Nothobranchius furzeri: one gene and its partner. The protein of the gene in region 1 interacts with the protein of each later gene in a biochemical or structural test. Links are inferred from orthologs where the notes say so. Each region holds a gene or a part of one and is shown on either strand. Other genes may lie near its edges. The genes, in order: bcar1 and ptpn12.

What was found.
Region 2: the proteins of bcar1 (region 1) and ptpn12 form a complex in vitro, tested with the Homo sapiens proteins (3 studies listed by BioGRID and IntAct, with this or other methods). The link is inferred for Nothobranchius furzeri from reciprocal best matches to the Homo sapiens genes BCAR1 and PTPN12.

Annotation. Positions count from the first base shown.
Region 1 is NC_091754.1:40,230,438-40,242,039, forward strand, and holds the start of bcar1 (breast cancer anti-estrogen resistance protein 1), read left to right. Parts: upstream 1-5,154; 5' UTR 5,155-5,756; coding exon 5,757-5,768; intron 5,769-11,602. Other genes in the region: cfdp1 (craniofacial development protein 1), read left to right, coding at 1-55, 138-342, 472-581, 915-1,043, 1,237-1,401, 1,599-1,689. UniProt on the Homo sapiens protein: Docking protein which plays a central coordinating role for tyrosine kinase-based signaling related to cell adhesion. Implicated in induction of cell migration and cell branching. Involved in the BCAR3-mediated inhibition of TGFB signaling.
Region 2 is NC_091741.1:48,571,782-48,583,327, forward strand, and holds the start of ptpn12 (tyrosine-protein phosphatase non-receptor type 12), read right to left. Parts: upstream 6,422-11,546; 5' UTR 6,202-6,421; coding exon 6,100-6,201; intron 1-6,099. UniProt on the Homo sapiens protein: Dephosphorylates a range of proteins, and thereby regulates cellular signaling cascades. Dephosphorylates cellular tyrosine kinases, such as ERBB2 and PTK2B/PYK2, and thereby regulates signaling via ERBB2 and PTK2B/PYK2.

The DNA of each region.
Region 1 (11,602 bases):
ATGAAGATGAAAGCGTACCATATCCTGACAGGAAAGGCAAGAAAAAGGGCATAAAGTAAGGGGCTCCACGTGTACGTCATCCACAGAATTTGCAGGAAGTGATGAAATAATTAAAAAAAAAACTCATAACTTCACAGAAGTAGGAGGAACAGAGCACAGAGGTTAAACGAAGAGGAGACGGTCGGAAGTGGGGCTGAAAAGGCGCGGCTAGCCCCACACGCCGGTGGTGATGAAGAAACACAGAAGAAAAAATCTGATGACCTTTGGGCCAGTTTCCTGTCTGATGTTGGAACCAGACCCAAAGACTCGGCACCTTCTGCTGAGTCTGGAACCAACAAGGAGGTAACCCGAGACAGAACAGTGTTTCCATGTGTCTGGGTAGTAAAAAGGGCTGGTGCTTCTCTGCTAAAGACAACCAGCCATGTGCCAGCATATAAAAACTCTGATCTGTTCTTTTATCTGTGTTTTTAGATGCATTCTTCAGTGTTGCAGACTCCTCCTAAGAATACAGACACAAAAGCTGCAGGACCAGAGAAAATCACCATCACTAAAGTGTTTGACTTTGCTGGAGAAGAAGTCAGGTCTGCTTTACCATCACTAACTCCAAGATAACACTTTAGAGGCTTTCAACCCCATCTTTATGTTGTTGTTTTTTTAAATGTTTAAGTGCTTTTTCATCTCAGTTCAGTATAAACCTGTGAGAGACACAAAGGGGAGTGCTTTATTCTTATTGGCTGAACAGTTTGTAGCCGGAACACTTGCCGTGTTCAGCTGCACCTGCAGTGAGCAGGGTCAGAACCGGCAGAGACACAGACAGGACCAGCACATGCACCCCCATTTCAACTAGAATGTGTATTATATTGTGTGAACACACACACATGTGGATTTTAACAGTGTTGGTGTCTCTTCTTGAGGGTGCATAAAGAGGTATCAGCAGACTCCAAGGAAGCCAGGAGTTTTCTGAAGAGCCAGAACAGTCAACAGGACGAGACCAAGAATGGCGAGAACTCGTCCCTCTGTCCCCCGTCTCTTCCTGGTCCCAGGTAAAACCCGGGTGTGTAGAAAAGTAAAAGATGTCTGACTCGGTGGTGATGAATCCCAAAATGGATGTTAGTGAAATTAGAGTGAACAGATGAGCTCGGTGGCTTTATTGGGACTTTTACTGTTGAGTAGATTTAAACAAACCTGGGCAGTACCAGTCAGGTCCAATTCTGTTCTTCTGATCTCCACTTGCAGCTGCAGCGCTAAACGTTCTGCTGGCATGTCGAGCATCCTGGGTCGTATTGGAGGAAAGAAGCAGAAAATGAGCACTTTGGAAAAATCAAAGATGGACTGGGATGCTTTTAAATATGAAGAGGGCATCACAGATGAGCTGGCGATCCACAACAGAGGCAAAGAGGGGTGAGATACTGTTCTGTCTGCTCCTGGTTAGCATCAAAAACAGTACAGCTCCCCCACCCTCCCCTGTGTGTCCTGGGTCGACCCCAGGGTCTTCTGTTGAACCACATGCCCAGATCAGCTTGTGTAATCTTATCAGGTTAGTTACTGGTTACTGTTTGTGACTAACGGTCTGTGTGTGTGTGTGTTTGGGGGGTCAGGTACGTGGAGCGGAAGAACTTCCTGGAGCGTGTTGACCATCGTCAGTTTGAGCGGGAAAAGGCAGTGAGGCTGAGCAACATGAAGCGATGACGCTGATCAAAGAAGGACTCACAAACTCACGTACAGCTGGAGGCTGCAGCGGTACGGTTGGTGTTCGTCAGAACTCCAGCTGGACCTGGGGCTTTGATCCGGAGCTCAGCGGTTCGGTGAGATGAGTTGGCACCCAGCGACTGGAATAACTCAGCACCCTCTCCTTGTGACCTGTTCCATTCAGCTGCTGTGTCTGGGTTAGGGTCACAGCCTTCGTCCCACTGTTCCACCCCGTTACCATGTTGTACGTGTGCAGTTAAACTCGTCCATGTTTGGGTTGTTTTTATTCTGTCATCATGCAGGGAAGCTTACGCTGAAGTCCCAGCAGCTGCTGGTGAGAACTTCTAAACGAGGGAGTTTCCTAAGTGTTTACGGGGTTCTAGGTTCCCTTGTGCCAGTCACACGGTTCCCTTGTGTGGATAGAGTTTAGAACGTTTTATTTAGAAAGTGTTTTGTGATATTTTCTCACCAAATCCTAACCCTAACCCTATCCCCAGCAGAGCAGCAGTTGAAACCGTCTCACATCTGTGGACACAGGAAGCGTGAGAAAGGGTCGGGCTGTGGATTTTGGTTCCCTGGTGCCTCTTTTTGCTACTTTTGGTGTTTTTAATTTAATACATGCTTAAATTACTTCATTGAATAATGATGGAGTCACAAATGTGCTGCGTCCTTCAGAATGTTCCAGATTCAGAAAAAACCTGGCCTCTTATTTGTTTCTATTAAATGATTCAAACATGCTGATAGACTCCATCCATCCATTTTTCTTCCGCTTATCTGGAGTCGAGTCGCGGGGGCCGCAGCCTACGTCGAGAGGCCCAGACTTCCCTCTCCCCAGCCACTTGGGCCAGCTCTTCCGGGGAATCCCAAGGCGTTCCCTGGTCAGGTGAGAGACATAGTCCCTCCAGCATGCCCTGGGTCTACCTTTAGGTCTCCTCCCGGTTGGACGTTCCTGGAAAACCTCACCAGGGAGGCGTCCAGGAGGCATCCTGACCAGATGCCTGAGCCATCGCAGCTGGCTCCTCTCCACCCTCCCGGATGACTGAGCTTCTCACCCTATCTCTAAGGGAGATCCCAGCCATTCTGCAGAGAAAACTCGTTTCAGCCGCTCGTATCCGTGATCTCGTTCTTCGGTCACTGCCCAAATGTGACAAGGTGGAGAAACGAGGGTCACGGGGGGGATTCGATCCCCAGACTCCTGGGTGAGAGTCACGTGCACTTACCAGTCAGCCAGAGGGATGTCCCCTTGGCCAAGTAGCCAGGGCGCATGATCAGTTGGGACACTGACAGGACGCTCACACTGCCACACAAAGCTTGTGACCACAGGTGAGGGTAGGAATGTAGATGGACCAGTAAATCGAGAGCTTTGCCTTCTCTCTTCACCACGACAGACCGGTACAACGCCTGCATCACTGCAGATGCAGCACCAATCCACCTATCCATCTCACGCTCCAGCTTTCCCTCACTCGTGAACAAGACCCAAACATACTTAAACTTCCACTTGGAGCAGGACCTCATCCCTGACCCGGAGAAGGCATTCTACCCGTTTCCGAATCAAGACTGGAAACCTAATCACTTTAAACATGACTTGGTGTGTTCCATCAACAGGTTCAATAAAGTAATGAAAGACATTGATATTTCACTTAAGGGATCTTTATACATTCTTCGTATACAAAACCATCTTTAATAAATTCGGGAGGTGGATTTGTGGGCAAGAACTTTAACGATACATTTTTAATGACGTACTTTATCAGGTCACAGTTACACGTGTTTCCAATGATGTGGTCAGACCAACTGTGTAGGTTAAAGTTCAGAGTTCACCAGTGGCTCATCTGTCCAGAGAGGCAGATGAGGAAGAGTCCATGTGATTGGTGATGGCCTAGAAGGAAGGGGAGGAGGATTCTCCATTATGTCGTTCATGGGACATCAGGACAGAGGTCATCCCAGTCTGAGCAGATGGTCTGTGGGCAGCATCATCAGGGAGAAGAGCACAGGTAAGTTTTTCTCGCTGTATAGCATGTATCATACTAACTGTAAGTGATGTAACCGCCATCAATGTGTTTGGTCCCTTTTCTACAGTTGAAAGACGACCAAATGATGTTGGAAGGACTTGTCTTTTCTCCCAACAAGAGGCATCGTTGTTGACACCATCGTTCAAAATAATGAAATCCAGCAGAGAGATTAAAGATGGAGCCAACTTTGATGGAAGAAGAAAGTTTGTATCGAGCTTTTCTAGATAAAAACTACAAGGCACTTCACAAGAAAATAAAATAAATGAAAAAAAATTAAATATATATTGTTATATAATAAAAATGGGAGAAATGGGAAACAGTTCAGAAAAATGTGAATAAAAAAGAAAATGTCATCACAGGAACATGAAAAAGAACTGACAAACACCAGCATGAAGAGAAACTAGTGAAGATTCAGCAGAAGGTGACATTAAAACCAGCCTGGACAGGTGAGTTTTCAGCTGCTTTTTAAAGGAGACCACTGAGTCCACTGATCTCAGGGGGAGAGAGGTCCAGAGTCTGGGGGCCGCAGCAGCAAATGATCTGTCACCTTTGGTCTTTAGCCTGGTGCTGCACAACCAGTAGGCTTTGATCACTGGACCTCAGGGACCTGCTGGGGGTGTAGGGACTAAGAAGATCACCAATGTAAGATGGTGCTTGTCCATGTAAGGCCCTATAGACCAGAACCAGGATCTTGAAATGAACCCTGAAGTTGACTGGCAGCCAGTGAAGCTGGAGGAGAAGCAGGGAGATGGGGGTGTGTTTGGAGGACTTGGTCAGAAGCCGAGCACAGGCATTCTGAACCACCTGTAGACGGTTCAGGGAGGTTCTGCTCAGACACGTGAAAAGAGAGTTACAGTAGTCTAAGCGTGAGGAGATGAAGGTGTGGAGAAGTCTCAAGTTCAGAATGGGACTCAGCTTAGCAATGTTCCTGAGATGGAAGAAGAAGAGCGAAAAAGAGAACTGGCATGAGAATCCAGGGTGAGAACTGGGTCAAAGGTCATGCCAAGATTCCTGACAGAGAGTTTGGTGTGAGAAGCAAGCTGACCAAGAGAGTCTCTGACTTTGGGAACCAGCTTGTTTGGGGCACAGATGAGGATCTCAGTCTTATCTTCATTCAGCTGTAGAAAGCTCCCAGCCATCCAGGTTTTGATAGAGTCTAAGCAGGTGTGTAACAGCTGCAGCTTAGACATCTCATGGGGCTTAAAGGAGATGTACAGTTGGATGTCATCTGCGTAAAGATGGTAGGAGACTCCTTTGAAGGAGCTCAGGATGTGCTGAAAAAGAAGCAGACAGAGGATAATTGGAAGGAGGAAATCATAAAAGCAGCAGGAATGAAGGAATGCAAGAGACTGTTTACTGGTTTTGCTGGGAGCACTGGTGTTTATAAAGTCCAACATCTGCTGGGAGGATGGACCTAGGATGCAGCAGTTTGGCACTGAAGGAGCTTCCAGCTCCACACCAGCTTCATGCATGGGATGGAGGACACTGTCCAACAGTGATGTTATTTTCACTAGAGTCCTCTCTCCCACCCCCAGCTGGGTCAAGGGGACATGCTAGGACAGAACTTCTTAATCAGCTTCCCGTCTCTCAGTAGCCCCAAACCACACAAAGATGGTGGATGGGAGGGGGGCTCGGGCCCTTTAAGCGGACAGGATCCAGCCTGTGGTGGGCGGACGGTAGCAGCCAGCTGTGCTCCACCCGCTCCGCTCGGCCTCCAGCCGCAGCTGCTTCATGCTCCAGCTGTTATAGCCGCGCGTCCGTGGGGGGTGAGTCCGAGGCAGAGTGACTTGAGGGAGGACCGAGAACCGTCAAGTCTGCGGGTCATACGGACGATCGCATTACCGCTGCTGCAGATCTGCGCCTCTGAGGCGCATTTTTACGCAGCAGTCCAGCTGGACTGAGACAAATCCCGACCTCTTCCTCCCGCTGGGAGCTTTCCTTTCCTACCAGGAGTCTTTTCCATGGAATCCACGAACGGCTGACGCCAGCGCAGCTGTGCATAAAACCCGCTAGAGACGCAACTGGCAGGAAAAGGCGCAATAGGACAGCTGCAGCAAAATGTCTATCCCTGTAAGTATGTCAGACGCATGTTGGTGTTCCCAGTCGTTGCTCCGGTGTTCCATGTTAATGGTTGTAACAGCCTGGGCCCGGGCCGCCCGGTTCCATAGCACTACAGTAATTAAGATGTTATCATGTGAGCCCACACATATTACTGTAACACGGTGTGTGATATGTGCTGGTGGTGACATGTTACTCTTTGTCTTTGGCCTACATGAAGCTCCAGCGGGTTTAAAGGAGCAGCCCGCCCCTTCCGGGAGGCTGTTTGCATGAAGGCCAATGTCAGCCAGGGTCTGGTGGCTTCATTCCAGCAGACCTGGCCAGTCAGCTCAGCAGAGCAGCTGATAGCACTGTGTGTGTGTGTGCAGGTGTGCGTGCGTGTGTGTGTGTTTGTGTGTGTGTGCAGGTGTGCGTGTGTGTGGAATAAGGCATTTGCTCGAGCTTGTTGAGTTATTTTCCATCAAATTCCAAAGGATCTGTTTCACAAACACTGCCTAAGGATCTCTCTCTCCCTCTCTCTCTCTCTCTCTCTCTCTCTCTCCTCTCTAACTGAACTGATGCTTCATTTTGTTGGGGACGACAAAATCCTACTGGCACTTTAATATAAAGTTATTAGACGATCTTACCTTTTGCAACATTTTTAAGCTGTTCTGGGAGGCTTTGCGGTCCAAAAGAATGATTTTAAGACCATCAGTGAATGGTGGGAACAAGGGAAGGCACAAATTAGAGTTTTCTGTCAACATTACACGCGGGGGTCTACAAACCAAATAAGAAAGACTATGGCAGATCTAGAGAAGGACATCAGGGTGCTAGACTACTACTCAACAACAGCACACCTTAGACCAAAAAAAGACAGCAGCTTGGGCATTTCCTGCAAGAGAGGGCCAAAGGCGCCTTGATCTGGGCTCGTCTCACCACAATACAGGACATGGATGCTCTGACATCCTTCTTTTTTAACCTGGAAAAGACTTCAAACCAGAAAAAACAAATGGCTGGCCTGCGTCTGTCAGATGGACAGTTATCCACAGACCCAGTGGAGATGAGGAAGCATGCAGTAGAATTCTATACCAGCCTATTTAAGGCCGCCCCATGTGATGTGAACTGTGCCAGAGAGCTGTTGCAGGGGCTTCCTTCCTTGACCACAGTAGACCAGGGAATCTTAAATGCAGACATAACCATGGAGGAACTTACAACGGCAGTCTCCCAGATGGCTGCAGGTAAATCTGCGGGGATGAACAGCTTACCCGCTGACTTCTACAAATTCTTCTGGAGCAGTATTGGACAGGACCTGATGGATGTTTTTAGAGACTCACTTCAGACAGGAGCACTTCCTGCATCGTGTAGTTGGGGCGTTCTGTCCCTGCTGCCGAAAAAAGGGGACTTAACCCAACTAAAAACCTGGGGACCAGTTTCCTTGTTGTGTTCAGACTATAAGATTTTTTCTAAGTTCCTATCTAATAGACTTCGGGGATTCATCAGAGGTCTAATCCCAGACGATCAGTCCTTCTGTATACCAGGAAAGTCATTAATGGACAATTTATTTTTAATGAGAGATGTGTTTGATGTTTGTAAAATGTATGATGTAAACGCAGGTATCATTTCTATTGATCAGGAAAAGGCGTTTGATAGGGTTGATCATGAGATCCTGTTCTCTACGCTACAGGCCTTTGGTGTTGGGGGGTCCTTCCTGGAAGGGATTAAGATGCTGTCATGTCATGTCAGCTGTATGGTGAAGGTAGCGGGGGGCCTGAGCCAACCCACCAGTTCTAAGAGGAATCAGACAGGTTGTCCCATCTCAGGACAACTGTATATTTTAGCCATTGAACAGCTGCTGTGTCGGCTGAGGAACAGGCTGAAAGGTGTACACCTACCTTTACCTGACTCCAGTCCTCCCTTAGTTGTGTCTGCTTATGCAGATGATGTGAATGTTTTCATCCATGATCAGCAGGATGTACAAGAACTCAGATCTAGTTTACGTTTACATGAGAAAGCATCCTCAGCTAAGGTTAACTGGGACAAGAGTGAGGCATGTGTAGTGGGGGGTGGGACCTTGGTGATGTCCCGCCTCTGCCAGAAGGGTTGAGGTGGGGAACGGGAGGTATTAAAACACTAGGCATGTACTTGGGTAGGGAAAGGTTTCAGAAACAGAACTGGGAGAAGGTGCTGGAGAAGGTGGAGGCGCGGTTGTCTAAATGGAAATGGCTGCTCCCTCAGCTGTCCTACAGGGGCAGGGTTCTGATAGCAAACAACCTCGTCGCCTCGTTTCTGTGGCAGAGACTGATTGTACTGGTTCCACCACCCCGTCTGCTGGAAGGTGTTCAGAAGCTGTTGGTGAAATTCTTCTGGTCTGGTCACCACTGGATCAGAGCTTCGGCTCTTTGCCTACCCGTGTCAGAGGGAGGACAAGGACTAATAGACGTGGTGTCTAGAACTGCAGCCTTCAGGTTACAGACAGCTCAGAAGCTTTGTTATGGTGACGGACTCCGCTGGCTCCCCCTGGCTCATCTCCTGCTGCAGAAGGTTGGTGGGCTTGGGCTGAACAAACACCTGTTCCTGTTGAATCGGAAGGTGTTGGATCTGACAAGGATTAGTCCGTTCTACTCATCAGTGCTGGACACCTTTAAGCTGCTGGCGGTTTCCCGAGCACCTGACACGGGACCAGGGACATGGTTGCTACAAGAACCCTTGTTTGACAATGACTTCTTCTCTCAAGCTGGCATTTTAACTTCGTCTTCGTTGAAAGTGAAGTTCACCGATGCTGGGATTGTAAAGTTTGGCCACTTACTGAAGATCCCGGCTGGAACCCTTGGTGAGCGGGTTGATGTGAGGTCCACCAGAGTGATGGAGAGAGTGGTGGAGGAGGTACGGAGGTCCTTGTCTGTGTCGCAGAGAGCCTTCGTTGAGACTTGTACTCTATCTGACCAATGGGATGATGACAGTGAGTACGTTTTTCCATCTCTGGAGGTTAAAGCAGCTGGTGAGGGATGGCAGGAGGAGAGTGGATTACTGCTGAACCTGAACTCTCCAGTGTTGGGCTCCTTCCAGTCTTGTGGGAAGAAACAGATCTATCACACTTGTGTGAAGGTTATCAATAGGCGCTCCTTGTTAGGAGTCAAGGAGTTGAGGTGGACTCAGGTGTTTGCTGCGGACCGTGCCCCTGGGGGCAGCTGGAGGACTTTGTATAAGTCTCCAGTGGAAAAAAGGGATGGCAGACCTCCAGTGGAGGATCATACATGGAGCTTTAGCTACGAACAGACACAGAGCCCACTTTGATCCAAGCACCGGGGAGGGATGTCCTTTTTGTAACCAAACAGAGACCCTAGAGCATCTAGTGGTAGCATGTTCTAGGTTATCAGGGATGTTCAGGGTTTTAGAACGGTGGGTTAGTGCACTGGGGGAGGCTTTTACCCTTCCGTTATTTGTTTTCGGGCCCAAGTACAGTGTCAGAAAAAACGGACAAAATTGTTAATTAACTTTTTATTTGCATGTGCAAAACTAGCCATCTGGAAAACCAGGAAAAACCAGATGCTGGGACAGAGCTGGACTGATGCTGAGCGGAGCCTGAAGGGCCTGGTGGAAGCTCGCTTGAAGATCGAACACGCTTTTTATGAACTTACTGGGAACCTGGACTCCTTTAGAGCGGTGTGGGGGATCGGGCAGGTGCTCTGTCTGCTGGATGGACAGGGCTCCCTAAAGATCAACTTCTAAACTGGGTTTCTCAGTTTTCCTGGTTTTATTAGTGGAAAACAAGTTTCAGTCATTAACACTGATTGTTGATCTGTAAAGAAATTTAAATAATTTAAAAGTCAAAGTCTCTCTCTCCTCTCTCTCTCTCTCTCTCTCTCTCTCTCTCTCTCTCTCTCTCTGTCTGTCTCTCTTTGTCTGTCTGTCTGTCTGTCTCTCTCTCTCTGTCTGTCTGTCTCTATGTCTCTCTCTCTCTGGTCCCCCCCCCCCCCCCCCCCCCCCAGTTCAAGCCATAACTAACACTCACATATTCAGCAACAGAACACCACTGTCAGGTTGGGCTTAAGGTTGTTGACCTAAGACGTGATGAACCAGTCACAACACGAGATAAATCAAATAACATTTACTAAAGGACAACTTATGGAGTGCCACCGACTTGGGGCGAGGAATGCTGAGGCTCTGGCTCCAGAAGAGTGACTCGCTGGGCTGAGGAAATATGTTGCTAAGGCTTACAGTTCTGTAGATGGTCTTGAGCTCGAGAGGGGAAGAGGTCCAGTCCAAGGCAGTGGTTGTAGGTAGAGCTTGTGCAGGAAGGGGCACTCGAGGCTGGTTCTAGATTTCCAGACAGGATGAGTGGTGGAACGCTGGAAGGTCTGGTTGCAGGGTTTGAGTGTGGATCAGGGAGGTTATCGTTGATCTGTTGGTGATGGTTGGAATACCTGGAGAGTAAAGAGAGGTTAGGGAAGTCGAACGATTCTTAGGTCATTTCAAAAAGGTGGCAGGTGACTCTCAGCTTGGTGGCACCAAAAGCGAGTTATCATCCGGTGACCTGTGTATTGTTATTAAGACTCTGGTTCCTCAAATAGCCAGACCCGGTGATTGGCAAACTGGCAGCTGGGCCCGCTCTCCCACCTGCAATCAAGCACTCCCAAGCCGTTTTTACAAAACAATGCCATTATTTGCTGCAACGCCGTGGCGGCATCAGGGAGCTTTATGTTGTTTATAAGTGGTCAGTGGCCATAACTGTGGCGGTACAGTTGTGCAATCATGTCCTTTTTACTAGCATTATGCAATGGTGGTATAAAGGGGGTATGGGGCGATCTCTGCGCTGCCGCGGACTTCCGTTTATCTTGGACATAACTTGATTTTTTTTTATTACGATTGAAGTCGTGCTCGTTAAGTCTTTTAACAAGCAGCTCCTAAAGGTGTCTGATCACCACTCCCTGTGCAGTCTCTGGTGATCTTAGTTCCAGCTCTAATGGAAAGAAGCTCCTGGAGAGCTGCATTGCTTCAGTTTAACATCTCAGCTGGTTCTGTTTACAGAAGGGGAATTCACGGCTCGTATTTACTTTCATTTTCTATTTATTTTCCAGCCGGAGCTGGGCAATAACTCCCCATGTGATCGGGACACCTCCCTCTGACACCTCAATCACCGTTTATAAGACAGACAATTACAGCAATATTACTACCAAGCAAGGCAGAACGAATGCCGCAACATTAGTGCAACGCTATGCTGGCATGGCGCGTTCATAAGACACGCTGTTGCGGTAATATTATGCAGATTTTCCGGCAGTGTGTGTCTTTTAAAAAGGGCTGTAGAGGTTAGGTGGTAACCACTCACCTCAGACTGTGACAACTACTGGTGTTTGAGGTTCTTCACTCAATAATAGCAGAAGAGAAACAGCCGGCTGCTACCATTTCAACTTCACGACAAACTACCAGAGTCCCAAAAAGAAAAATACTATTTGAAGTCACGGAGAACTAAAGACGTTTGGACCTGGTGTTTAGTGCTCTCTTGGTCCTCTGGCAATGTGGGTTTCCGGATCCAGGAGAAGCATCTCAGTGAAAATATCCGAGGGGAGGGGCGAGCGTTCTGTGACTGCATTCAACACCTAGCTTGTTTGCAGATTCACCATAACAGCTTTAGAGTTGGAATATGGAATATTTTATATAAAAAATACTCCATGGGGCATTCAGAGATGTTCAGAATAAAAGTATAGTATAGTTTCTCACCTGTAGACGGTTCAGGGAGGTTTTGCTCATTTACTCTGAACATGGTGCTAGAACGTGTCAGCAGTGAACCAACATAAATGATAAATGACCCGCACTTGTATAGCGCCTCTCAGAGTAAGGACTCCAAAGCGCTTAACACTACAGTGTAT
Region 2 (11,546 bases), on another chromosome or scaffold:
GTTAGTTTAAAAAAAACATTACGGTAAATGTTACCTGTGGAGCAGAAAGCATGCAACCTCGGCATGACTTCTCAGTCTTTGATGATCCTTTAGTTAATTCCATTGAGAGAATGCAATGGCAATTGTAGTTTTCTGGTGCTGTACTATCCAGATCTGCTCGGGGTCCTGTGCATACTGATGACATCATCATACTATGCCAATTCCGCTTGGCCAAAATATATTGCATCTCTTTTTTGATTCTGCTCTTTCACGTATGTTTTGGAAAATGTTTAGTAGTTTTGATATTGAATTTGTTTTCCTTACTGCCTAAATGTTTTTGCACACGTAACGTAACTTCAGCAAGTCGTACGTCCTGCCAATGATCTACTGTGACATCATTTTCCCCCCGTAAGCATTTTAAGATTTTTAAAGCTCAATATAAATAAATTTATTATATTAATATTATTATTATTATCATCGACAAACGTAAGAACCCAAGCCAGCCTGAAGGAAACATGGCGTCTAATATGGTGCAGGGTTTCCCCCAGCCTATAAGCCTATAAGCCTGGCGGCCCACCAGGCTTTGCATGGCCACCCGCCAGGCTTAGCGTCATGCCCCGCCCCCCTCCCCGACCATACCGTGTCCGCTGACACAAACGGCGCAATAAAACTAGAGCCCTCTATCAGCTGATACTGGTGAGAAACAGCAGCGGAACGTGTGCAGCAACCCCCTGACGGCCGAATCCGCCAGGCTTAACTCATTTTCTGGGGGAAACCCTGTGGTGTCCCCCAAAGACGCTAGACCAGCATCCTATGTACTTTAGACCCGATTTTTATGGTTATAAGGTGCAAAGTTGACAAAAATATTCAACAACTGGACATAATTTTATTCATTTTCAACAACGTTTTGATGGATATTTCCAGGAATTATTGGTAAAAACTACACATTGCCTCTTTAACATAAGATGAGAATAAGTTGAGTCAAACATCTGCGGTGCGACTATAGCTCACACATACAACTGCAATGCTCAAACGTAACATTGTGCAACTCTGGTCCATATGAAGACGTATAAATAACTGCTCCACAACATCCAGTCTAATGTAGCTCTGAAAATGTAAAGCACCAGGATATTAGGATTTAAAAATATGCCTGAACAATCATTTTTTTATAGTCTCTTTTGATTTACTGACTGGGTTGACCGAGAACCACAGCCACAAACATCTCTCGTGTAATTTACCTCCATTTAAATATAACAAAGATGAACAACTCAATGTAAACAAAGGTAATCCCAACAATTAGAATGGATTACGTTGATGTTTCTAATGTGATTCATCATAAATAAAACTCTGGTTTTGATGGCAGATGGAAAAATTATCTGTCCATCAAATGACTTTTAAAAAAAGCCCACTGAACAAAGCATATAATCGCTGACTCCTTACCCCCACCAGAGCCTGTAATTATGCCTATAAAACACATTCTATATATAAACAACAATAGACAGCTAAAGTGGGAGTTGTGTCAGGGAGTTCTGGTGACTCACTACACAGAAGGGCACACCCCATGCGCTTGTGGCAGCGCGAGTTTGACTTCAGCAAACGAGTCTGTCACATAAGGCTTGGCATCAGTAAAACAGGCTGGCAGCGATTAGCTGAAGAACTCTGCTGGTAAATCTCAACTGTAAATGTATGCTGGCACAAGGAAAACACCGGCGCTTTCTTGATTCCAGGCTGACCTGTCATCGTAATCACTTTTCACTGCCGAGGGAACAAATTTTACTTCAAGCTTTGTTTACTAAAACAAGCCAACATTAAAAAAAAACTCTGGGTAACCATGTGACAAATAAAGTTTATATTAAAGCACCACCATACTCCAAAAAAGCTTTTATGAAAAACTGTCTGTGAGTGAAGATACTCTCTGAAAAAAAGCAGGATAGCCTAAAGGCTAACAGAAAATTCTAATGCGGGATTCTGATGGAATTTGTTGACAGAAACCAATAAAAGCAGTGGAAGGTGTCTAAAAAGAGAAATAATTTCTTATTTAAAAGATCTTCCTTACAAAAAATACAAAACTTTGGTTTGGACTGGGACTCTTTCACTTGTGAAACATAAGAACATCTTTGCTGTAAAGGCTGTGGATACATTTGAAGTGCTAAAAGCAGAAGCTACATTGATCTAATTGGCAGCATACATGTACAACAACAGCATAAAGCGCAATAATGCATCATATGTTTATGGAGTAAAAAGAGTTTTGTCTCAGATTATCTGTGCTGTGCAATTAATTACATTTGTGCTCAATTTCAGCTCCAAATGGTTGTAAAAATAAAGTAATGGGCAATGATTTTTACAATGGTTTCGTCGTTCTTTCTAAATGATCTGGTTCTAGAGAATTGTGCATGTATTCTTGTGTTTTTCCATAATTGTATCCTGTTTAATGATTTTTATGCCTTTGTGTTCAGTACTTCAGTCAAAGTTAGCATGGCTAACCTCACAAGCATCTTGTGGTGTTTTAGAAAGTCAGCTCAAGTAAAGATGACAGAATGGGGGTAAAACACAATGGGAGTATACATCACACAACAAAAATACACTTCTACTATTGTCAATTATGATCTTCAATCATTCTGTAGAATGGTTCTGAGTGATATTGCGTTCTAATTTTCAAGCATCTACACATCCGAGCTTCCATTGCAGCTCCTCTCTAGCCTAGAACCGGTGTCCAGCATGTTTTCTTGTTTCTCTACTCCATCACAACTAATTCAGTGGTTGATTCACCTGTACAGCAGCTCATCAAGCTCTTCAGAAGCCTGTTCATCACCTGCTGATTGAAATCACGTGTGTTAAAGCGGAGTTCAAACTGAAACATCCTGGATACCGGCTCTCCAGGACCAGGAGTGAGTACCACTGAACTAGCATGTGGAGGCAGTTTGAAAGGCATCCGTAGATCCCACCCCACAACAGAGAGCCATCAATGGACAGCCAACCAATATATTTATGTAAATAGGATGACCTGCCAGGCTAGCTCGTCTGCTTTTATAGCTAAGCTGTCTGTTAATTTTGTCTTCATGTGAGTGACTGATGAAACTGTAATTTAATTTTGATTATTTGATGTCTTCATGTCTTTTCACCCCCAACAGTTTGGGGGGTGAAACTTGATGCTGGACTTAAATTTGATGCTCACATCATTTCTGTGACCCGGTCCAGTTTCTTTCACCTGAGACGCCTTGCAAAAATCAAGCATATGCTGTCGAGAGCCCACCTGGAGCGGGTACTGCATGCCTTTGTAATTTCTAGGCTTGACTACTGCAACTCTCTCTATGCAGGGTTGTGTCAGTCATCACTGCATCGCCTACTGGTTGTGCAGAACAGCGCAGCCAGGTTCCTGACTGGGACCAGGAAACGGGACCACATCAGTCCGGTTCTGGCCTCCCTGCACTGGCTTCCGGTTTGCTATCGTTCACACTTCAGACTCCTCGTCTTTGTTTTTAATTTCTTCCAGGGTGGTGCTCCCCCCTATCTGGCCACACTCCTGAACAGACATTCCCCATCACGCGCTCTGCGCTCCTCTGACCAAGGCCTGCTCGCTGTTCCTCGTTCTAGGTGTCGTACTCGCGGGGACCGGGCGTTCTCAGTCCTAGCACCGTCACTCTGGAATGAGCTGCCACCATCAGTTAGGCTGTCCCCATCTCTGCCAGTCTTCAAGAGTCGCCTAAAAACACACCTCCTCCGCTTGGCGTTTCCTGAACATGTTTGATTTTGGCCCTCTTTTATGTTGAATTTATTTTACAGTTTTCATTGGTTCACTCTATCCATTGTTTTACACATTTGTCCTGTACTAGAATGTTTCGCCTTTTGTGTAATTTGAATTGCTTTTATTTTTGATTTATTCAATATATTTACCTTCTACTGTACCAAGTTCAGGGCCTTGGGCTTCCTGACAGGGTTGCGGAAGGCACTTTATAAATAAAGCTTTGATTGATTGATTAAATCATTAAAACATGAACTCTGGATACGTTTGGTTCAGAAAACAGATACAATTAGAAATATACAGTTATATAAGGAAGATGGATGGACAACTTTGGTAAAATACATATATTACATAGTCTAGTACCCCCAGCAGAGTTGTGCTTTCTAACAGTGTTCAAGTTGTGATTATGCAATCAGGTTACCAACTCTCAGAATGTTAATGTAAAATAATTGCAACAACAGCTTTACATGATAAATAAACCACAATAAAACTTAAAAGCAGCTCTTCTGCTTTTATCCAATCTCTGAATGCCTTATGTGATAATCCAATTTGATTTTCTGAAATTAAAACTATTCATAGAATTAGTGATGCACTGATTTGAAATATTTGGGCGGATACTGATATCCGATATGAATCACTGTTATGGCTGATAACTGATATTTGCCAATACCAATATACTGACATTAATGCTTCTAAAATCACCAGATTTTGTACAGAATGAAAATTATTAAAGCTGAATTTACGTTATTATGTACACACACCACACACATTTACACTTCTGCGATGATTAAAATAACTGTCACATGACTAAACAAATACACATGACCTCCCTCACCCTCTGAAAAAGATAAACAAATGGAAAGATGGAAAAAATATTGGTTGTTAATATCAGCCTGGTTTTATTTATCGGGCTGATACCGATATGTTAAAAAATGACTTACAAGTGCTGATATCGATATTGATGCCGATATATTGTGCATTCCTACATAGAATTGATAAGTTTAGCGTCTGAGGAGTGAGGACACAACTAGCCCGACATGAAGTTCTAGTTAATGTTTTTGAGAGTATGAATTAGAGTTGAAAAAGTTCCACTATTGAGCCAGCACAAAATGTTATGAAATAGGCCAAGAAAGAATGTTGCAAGCTCCAGCAAGCAGCTTGGATGAAGCAGGGAAGTAAGCAGTGTTTGTTTGCAAGTGTAGGCAAAAGAACTCTGACAGGGATGGGACTCCAAACCAACTCAATCTAAAACATTTAATTCCCGGAAACAAAACATATTGGTTAGTTTGTATTTCAACTATTTGAAAAACAGTTTTTACAATATTTCAGATTGCTAAAAATCACAAACGTGGAATTAAATGTTTGTCCTTAACATAACATTTTGAAACATTGTAATCAAAGCCACCCAACTAAAGTGGCCACTTGAGCACAAAAGCTATTATGGACGTGTCATTCATGTTGTGACTATTTCAGCCACAAGCCCAGGAGTGGGAGAGGTCCAATTAGGAGATCAGAACTGCAACATCCAGACATGTAGTGAGAGGCAGACCCATTACAGAGCAGTCTGTGGTCATCACAAAACAAACTAAATGTGGTTTTGAAATGACTTCATCAACAAACAATTACAAAAAAGGGCTCAACACTGGCTCAGATATTTAATTTCAGGCATGCCCAGGACACAAGTTGCAGCTGATGATTATGAGAGGGAAGTAGAGGAGGGGAGTGGTAGTTTTTGTGGTTGGGTATTACTATTTGCACTGAGTTGCGTGATTATCACACATAACTGTTTAAATTAAACTTAGCTATCATTTTAGATGGTGTAGTTTCACATTACAGGATGTGTTATGTTACAAAGTGAAGATGCAAATACTGGTGAGTCTATCAATCACTGCAGAACACGTGTTCCCAGTACAGTTGTATTTTTGATGTAGATTTAAATTTATACAACAAAGGAACTTGGAGGTAGAGGAACTAGTGTGCACCTAAGATCTGTTAGAATAACACAATAGGAAACACCAGAACATCCCAGTTTAGCCTTAGCTAAAGCTGCTCTTCGCTATGCCAGACAAAAACATCTAATGGCTTTAAGGTGACGTGACTTGTTTTGCTGTTTGCCTCTTTGATTTGAAGACAGGAGTTGGTGGCGTTTCTGTGCGGTTCGGGAGACAATGCAAGGCCGCCATATAAAGGCTGGAAATGGGAGGAAAAGGAAGTGGGCATAGTGTGGCCGCCCCCGCCTCACCTCCTGGGGGATACAGGGAACCATAAGACGGGAAAGGGGGCTCGGATATAAAGGGTCAACATGAGGAAAACGTGGATATTTTGACACAGGAAAAATTAAGAAGTCTAGCTTTAGACTCCTGCTGAATTAGGCTCACCATAAAGTCGCTGCCAAAGTTGTCCTCCCCCCTCTTCTCGTCTCTTTCACTCATGGTCTTCACCCCCTGGATAAACTGTCTCAGGATGCCGGCTTGGTCCATCTTTCAGTCCTCTTAAAACGCTGCCTTTTTCCGTTTAAATATATCTCCCAGACTAACAAGGGGAGGAGAACATTAAAAATAAAACAGCAGAGGACAAAGGAGAGGGAGAAGGGGAAATAAATAAAAATAAATAGGCTTTCACGGGTCCTCCCAGAGAGTCATCGTCGGTCCACAACACAGCACATTTATTTATTATCGCCCCATGTTGTTTCTGCCTTTCCTTCTTTCTTCTGGACTGTTTTCACGACAGCAGTTAGTCCCAAAGAAAAGCTGCAACGGCCGGCTAGCCAGCCCCTCGAACAAGTTTACAACCGCGGCGTGGAATAAACTGTCAGTACGAGGCTCGGCGAGAAAATACAAAATAAAGAAAAAATACCAAAAAACCCGGTCCGGTCAGTCTCTGTACCCCTCCCTGTCTACCTCGATTGCCACATTCACACTAGTGCTCGTTATTCGCTACTGGAGAACATCCGGACTGGGCAAAACCGACGAGATGTAGTCCCGCCTTTTCCAGGATATACCTGTTTCTGATTGGTAGCAAGAGAACGTGTGACAGAATGTTATTGGCTGAGACGGCTGCAGCTCTACCAAACGGCCTCGCGTGATTGGATAAAACTTATGCCTGTTTTTCTCAGTTTATCAGCCACAGGCATCCAACATTCATAGTGGGAACAATCAATCAATCAATCAATAAATAAATAAATAAATAAATAAATAAATAAATAAATAAATAAATAAATAAATAAATAAATAAATAAATAAATAAATAAATAAATAAATAAGATATCCATGTAATGTGTATTATTGTCACTTCAGAAAAATGAACAGACGTATCTCCTTTTAACAAAACAATATAATCAGCAAAAGGTTCAAATCAATTTATTTATTCAGCATGCAGAATTTGACATGAACTGTCCCCTTCCAGCGAATGAGGCTACAATGTTATTACACATATGCTGTAATTCAGTTAAAATGATAATTATACGTTTCAACTCAGTCTGTCATACAATTTGAAATGTATTTGTTTGTAAAAAAAATTCTCTAATAAAAAGACAACAAATCAGAAGTCTCATTTATGATATCACAGCAGACTCTGACACTTTCCACATGGTCAGATTTATAGTGATTTTCTTATGTTTAATTCTCCTTCTTTAGTCCTGGAAGATGGATGTGAAGCTCGCTAAACTCAAAGCCATTTTTCTTCTCTTTGGTTTGATGATGTAAAATTGTTGGGACGGGCAGTACATCTTCCCACACAAAACCTAAAGGATCTTTTGTTGCCTGTTGTGAATAAGTACTTTCCTGGCATCAAAATGTGTCATTAAAATTCCCACAAACTATAAGTGAAATCCATGACACATATCGAACAGGATCAGAAAATAACTTTTATCACCACAGACTCCCATTTATTGTTTTTGATAATAAATGGGAGTGTTTTCTTCGCTTTTTTAGGAAGTGAGTCACATCACAGCTGAGCCTCAGTGGAAGAAGATGGCCGTGACTTTTGTCTGGTAAGAGCATTGCACAGGGAAGCAACAAATTACACTTTAATAGATGGATCACAGTATGAAGTAATAATATGCCCGGTATTGGAGGTAGCACAGTTTACAGCTCTGGTGTTACAGTTTTTCATCCAGGAGGTTAAATAGATGATGAGCTGGGTGAGATGAGTCTTTTAAGATATTTTAATACTGCTAATAATGCATTTAAATTGCAACAGAAAAATCAAATTTAATTCATGTTGTCCATAGAATGTCTAATCTAGAAAATGGTAGTTCAACTTTTATTATAGCTCAAAAAATGAGAAGAACAGATGAAGAAGACTGGTGTTCTCCGTAAGACTTTTGGGAGACAGAAACTCAATAGACCTTCATTCCTGATGAACCATTCTCCAATAAACTAACACAGAAGAAAAAGGGAATTGAGCTACTTTGTTTTCCTTTCGTTCTACCAGTGACAGAAAACAAAACCATCTATTCACTGGGAGCAGGAGCAAGAAGAAGAGGGGACGCTGTCGCTGTGCCAGCAAGCTTTTACTCACACAAGCTGCTTTTTGTTGCTCTAGTCTTTAAACTTATTTGCTTGTTATATCGGCACATACTGAGTGTTTTCTTTGCTTTTTTCCCCTTCCTTGTCCCTTCTGTTTCCACTCCATCCTCATTAAGCAAACCTTGTTTCAGAGTCTCCAGTCCAACTGCTGCAATACATCATCAAATATAGAATTCCAAATGTATAGGCTGTATATATATATATATATATATATATATATATATATATATATATATATATATATATATATGTATGTGTGTTGTTTGTGAGAAACGATTCATGCCAAAGAAAGCAACCACTGATGTTGTTTTGATGATGAACACTTGGTTTTTATCTTGCGTTATTTGGTCCTTATTTGTTTTTCTTTGTGTAAATGTGTTGTACACTCATTTAATCAATACAATTGTAGTGGTTTCTAGCAGGAATGAATGCACTGTAAGTCGTTCTCGGAGGGCAAAAATGACTGGTGCACCATTTCTAGGAACTAGAAGTGAGTCACATCACAGCTGAGCCTCAGACAGCAGCTTTTGGAGTCTTATGTCCTCCTATTTGGTCATCTCACCTTGCATTGGATAACAGCAATGCAACTCTACCACTGACTTGCAATGTGGATATTTTAGCTCCACAAACAACTTAAGCCTGGAGGAGTTATGCTGTGTGGTGGAGTTGCTAATGCTAACGGTTAGCTTCTAATAGTCGAGAAGTTCTCTGCTGTTTCCTGGACGCTAAACCAACAACAACCTTCCCCGTCGTGAGTCAAGATGGATGAATCCATGCATGTTAATTAAGAGTGTGATGTAGATCTGTCAGGCTTTTCTAATCCTAGAGTTTCACCTTCTATTTTCTGTCAGAAGCTAATGCTGGAGCTAGGTGTAGGAGACTATTTTCATGTTCAGCCTGCATGAAAAACTCAGAGTGACCAATTATAATCAGAAATAATAAAAAAAAATGTTTTTCTGGAGTTCTAGACCTTTAATGAATTGCTATTTTACAGTATTTTCAAAGAAAAACATCAAATGTAACAAATGCATATAAATATATGTTTGGTTATTTTACAGGTTCTGTAAGATAACTTTTTGAAAAACATTGAACACATTTTTGATTCAAAGGTTTAAAGCAAATTATAGTTTGTGCAGAAATGATTGATTCGCTTTATGAGAGCACGTTAGTTCCACTGGTGTAGAAATACACACCAAAGATGATCATGCGTGTCTATGTATAACTTGCCTAATAGCTGCATGGTAGGATGTCATGACCTTCCTTTTCTACTTTCCCAGGCTGGCTCTCGTTACTCTGTACTTTATCTGAACCTGACCTTTGACCTCCATGTGGGAAAAGGGGGGCCAGGGGTTCAAATATCACACCAGGGATCGGTTACATGTAATATTATTTTTCCCATCTTCCTCCTTCACCAATTTCCTGTGTTCCTGTCTTCCCACTTTAGCACAGAGCGCAGGAGGAAACTTTGTACGTATGTCTCTCCCTCTCTGTTCCTTTCTTTTATCAGTTTGTCTCCCGCCATTCTTTCTCTTTTTGATGACTCTCTTCTTTTCTTTTCTCTTCCTTTTCTGTCTGGAATGCACTGTTCAGAAGCAGCTGAGTGAAAGAATGTTGTTGTAACAAGCCCATACACAACCCTGAGGTAGGGAGGATCCTTGCACACGCTCTCACACATGCACACAATCTGCATCTTTCCCTCACCCTTGTGTTCTGTTTTATTTTGAGGTGTGTGGAGGGAGAGCAAGAAAACGTATGCATGAGAGCTGGGGAATATCAGGTCTGCAAGCACACACAGAGGACGTGAGCCTGCCTGTTGTAGTGACATGAGGTGAAAAGTCTGCCCTCAGGCTGCATGAATCAGTGGCAGGTTGCACAATGCTATCATGGCTCCTCCTTTATTGGGTCCATTAAAATAAATCATAACGCAACTAGTCTGGTTAAAAAATATATGCATAGACACCGTTGGCTCTGTATTCATTTCATGCATTTGTACAACTTATTTTACTTCCATTAATCTCTACTTCTTCTTCTTGGGAGAGAGGTCCTACCTCAAGTGGAGGAGTTTAAGTATCTCTGGGTCTTGTTCACGAGTGAGGGTAGGAGGGATCGGGAGATCGACAGGCGGATTGGTTCGGCGTCTGCAGTGATGCGGACGCTGAGCCGATCTGTTGTGGTGAAGAGGGAGCTGAGCCAGAAAGCCAGGCTCTCGATTTACCGGTCGATCTACGTTCCAATCCTCACCTATGGTCATGAGCTTTGGGTAATGACCGAAAGAACAAGATCGCGGATACAAGCGGCCAAAATGAGTTTCCTCCGTAGGGTGGCCGGGCTCAGCCTTAGAGATAGGGTGAGGAGCTCGGACATTCGGGAGGGACTCGGAGTAGAACCGCTGCTCCTCTGGATCGAAAGGAGCCAGTTGAGGTGGTTTGGGCATCTGGTCAGGATGCCTCCTGGACGCCTCCCCGGGGAGGTGTTTCGGGCATGTCCTGCCGGCAGGAAGCCCCCGGGTCGACCCAGGACACGTTGGAGAGATTACATCTCCAATCTGGTCCGGGAACGCCTTGGGGTCCTGCCGGAGGAGCTGGTGGAGGTGGCCGGGGAGAGGACGGTCTGGAGCTCCCTAGTTGGGATGCTGCCCCCGCGACCCAGACCCGAATAAGCGGAGGAAGACGACGACGACGAGATAATCTCTGCTTCTGTTATATAAGTATTTTTATATGATTTACCCATTATCATCTTCTATAAATCATGCAACACTCATCCAATTATGGGTGAAAAGGAGCATGCACAATTACTGTACAGCTGCTGAAATAAACTAACTCACTGCAAAGCTTTGCTGTGAAAATCCAGTTAAAAGTAGCCTTTCAGAGCCATCCACACCCTGGGATCTGTGTGGTTTTCTGTTGGAAGTCTAGGGCCATGACCTCAAGAACAATGTAAAAATATCCCATCTGTTTATGTTTATTTATTTAGCAGACGCTTTTATCCAAAGCTACTTACAATTTATAACCTATAGGGCATGTTGTGATCTGTGGGGGAAACCAGAGTACCCGGAGGAAACCCACGCATGCATGGGGAGAACACGCAACTCCACGTAGAAAGGCCGCAGCTGAGTTTTGAACCTGCACCCTTCATGCTGCGAGGCAACAGTGCTAACCACTGCGCCACCATGCAGCCCAATCTGCACAGTCCACTTCCATGAAACCACATCCACTGTTAAAAGATGGCATGTGCTTTTGTGTAAGCACACACACACACACACACACACACACACACACACACACACACACACACAC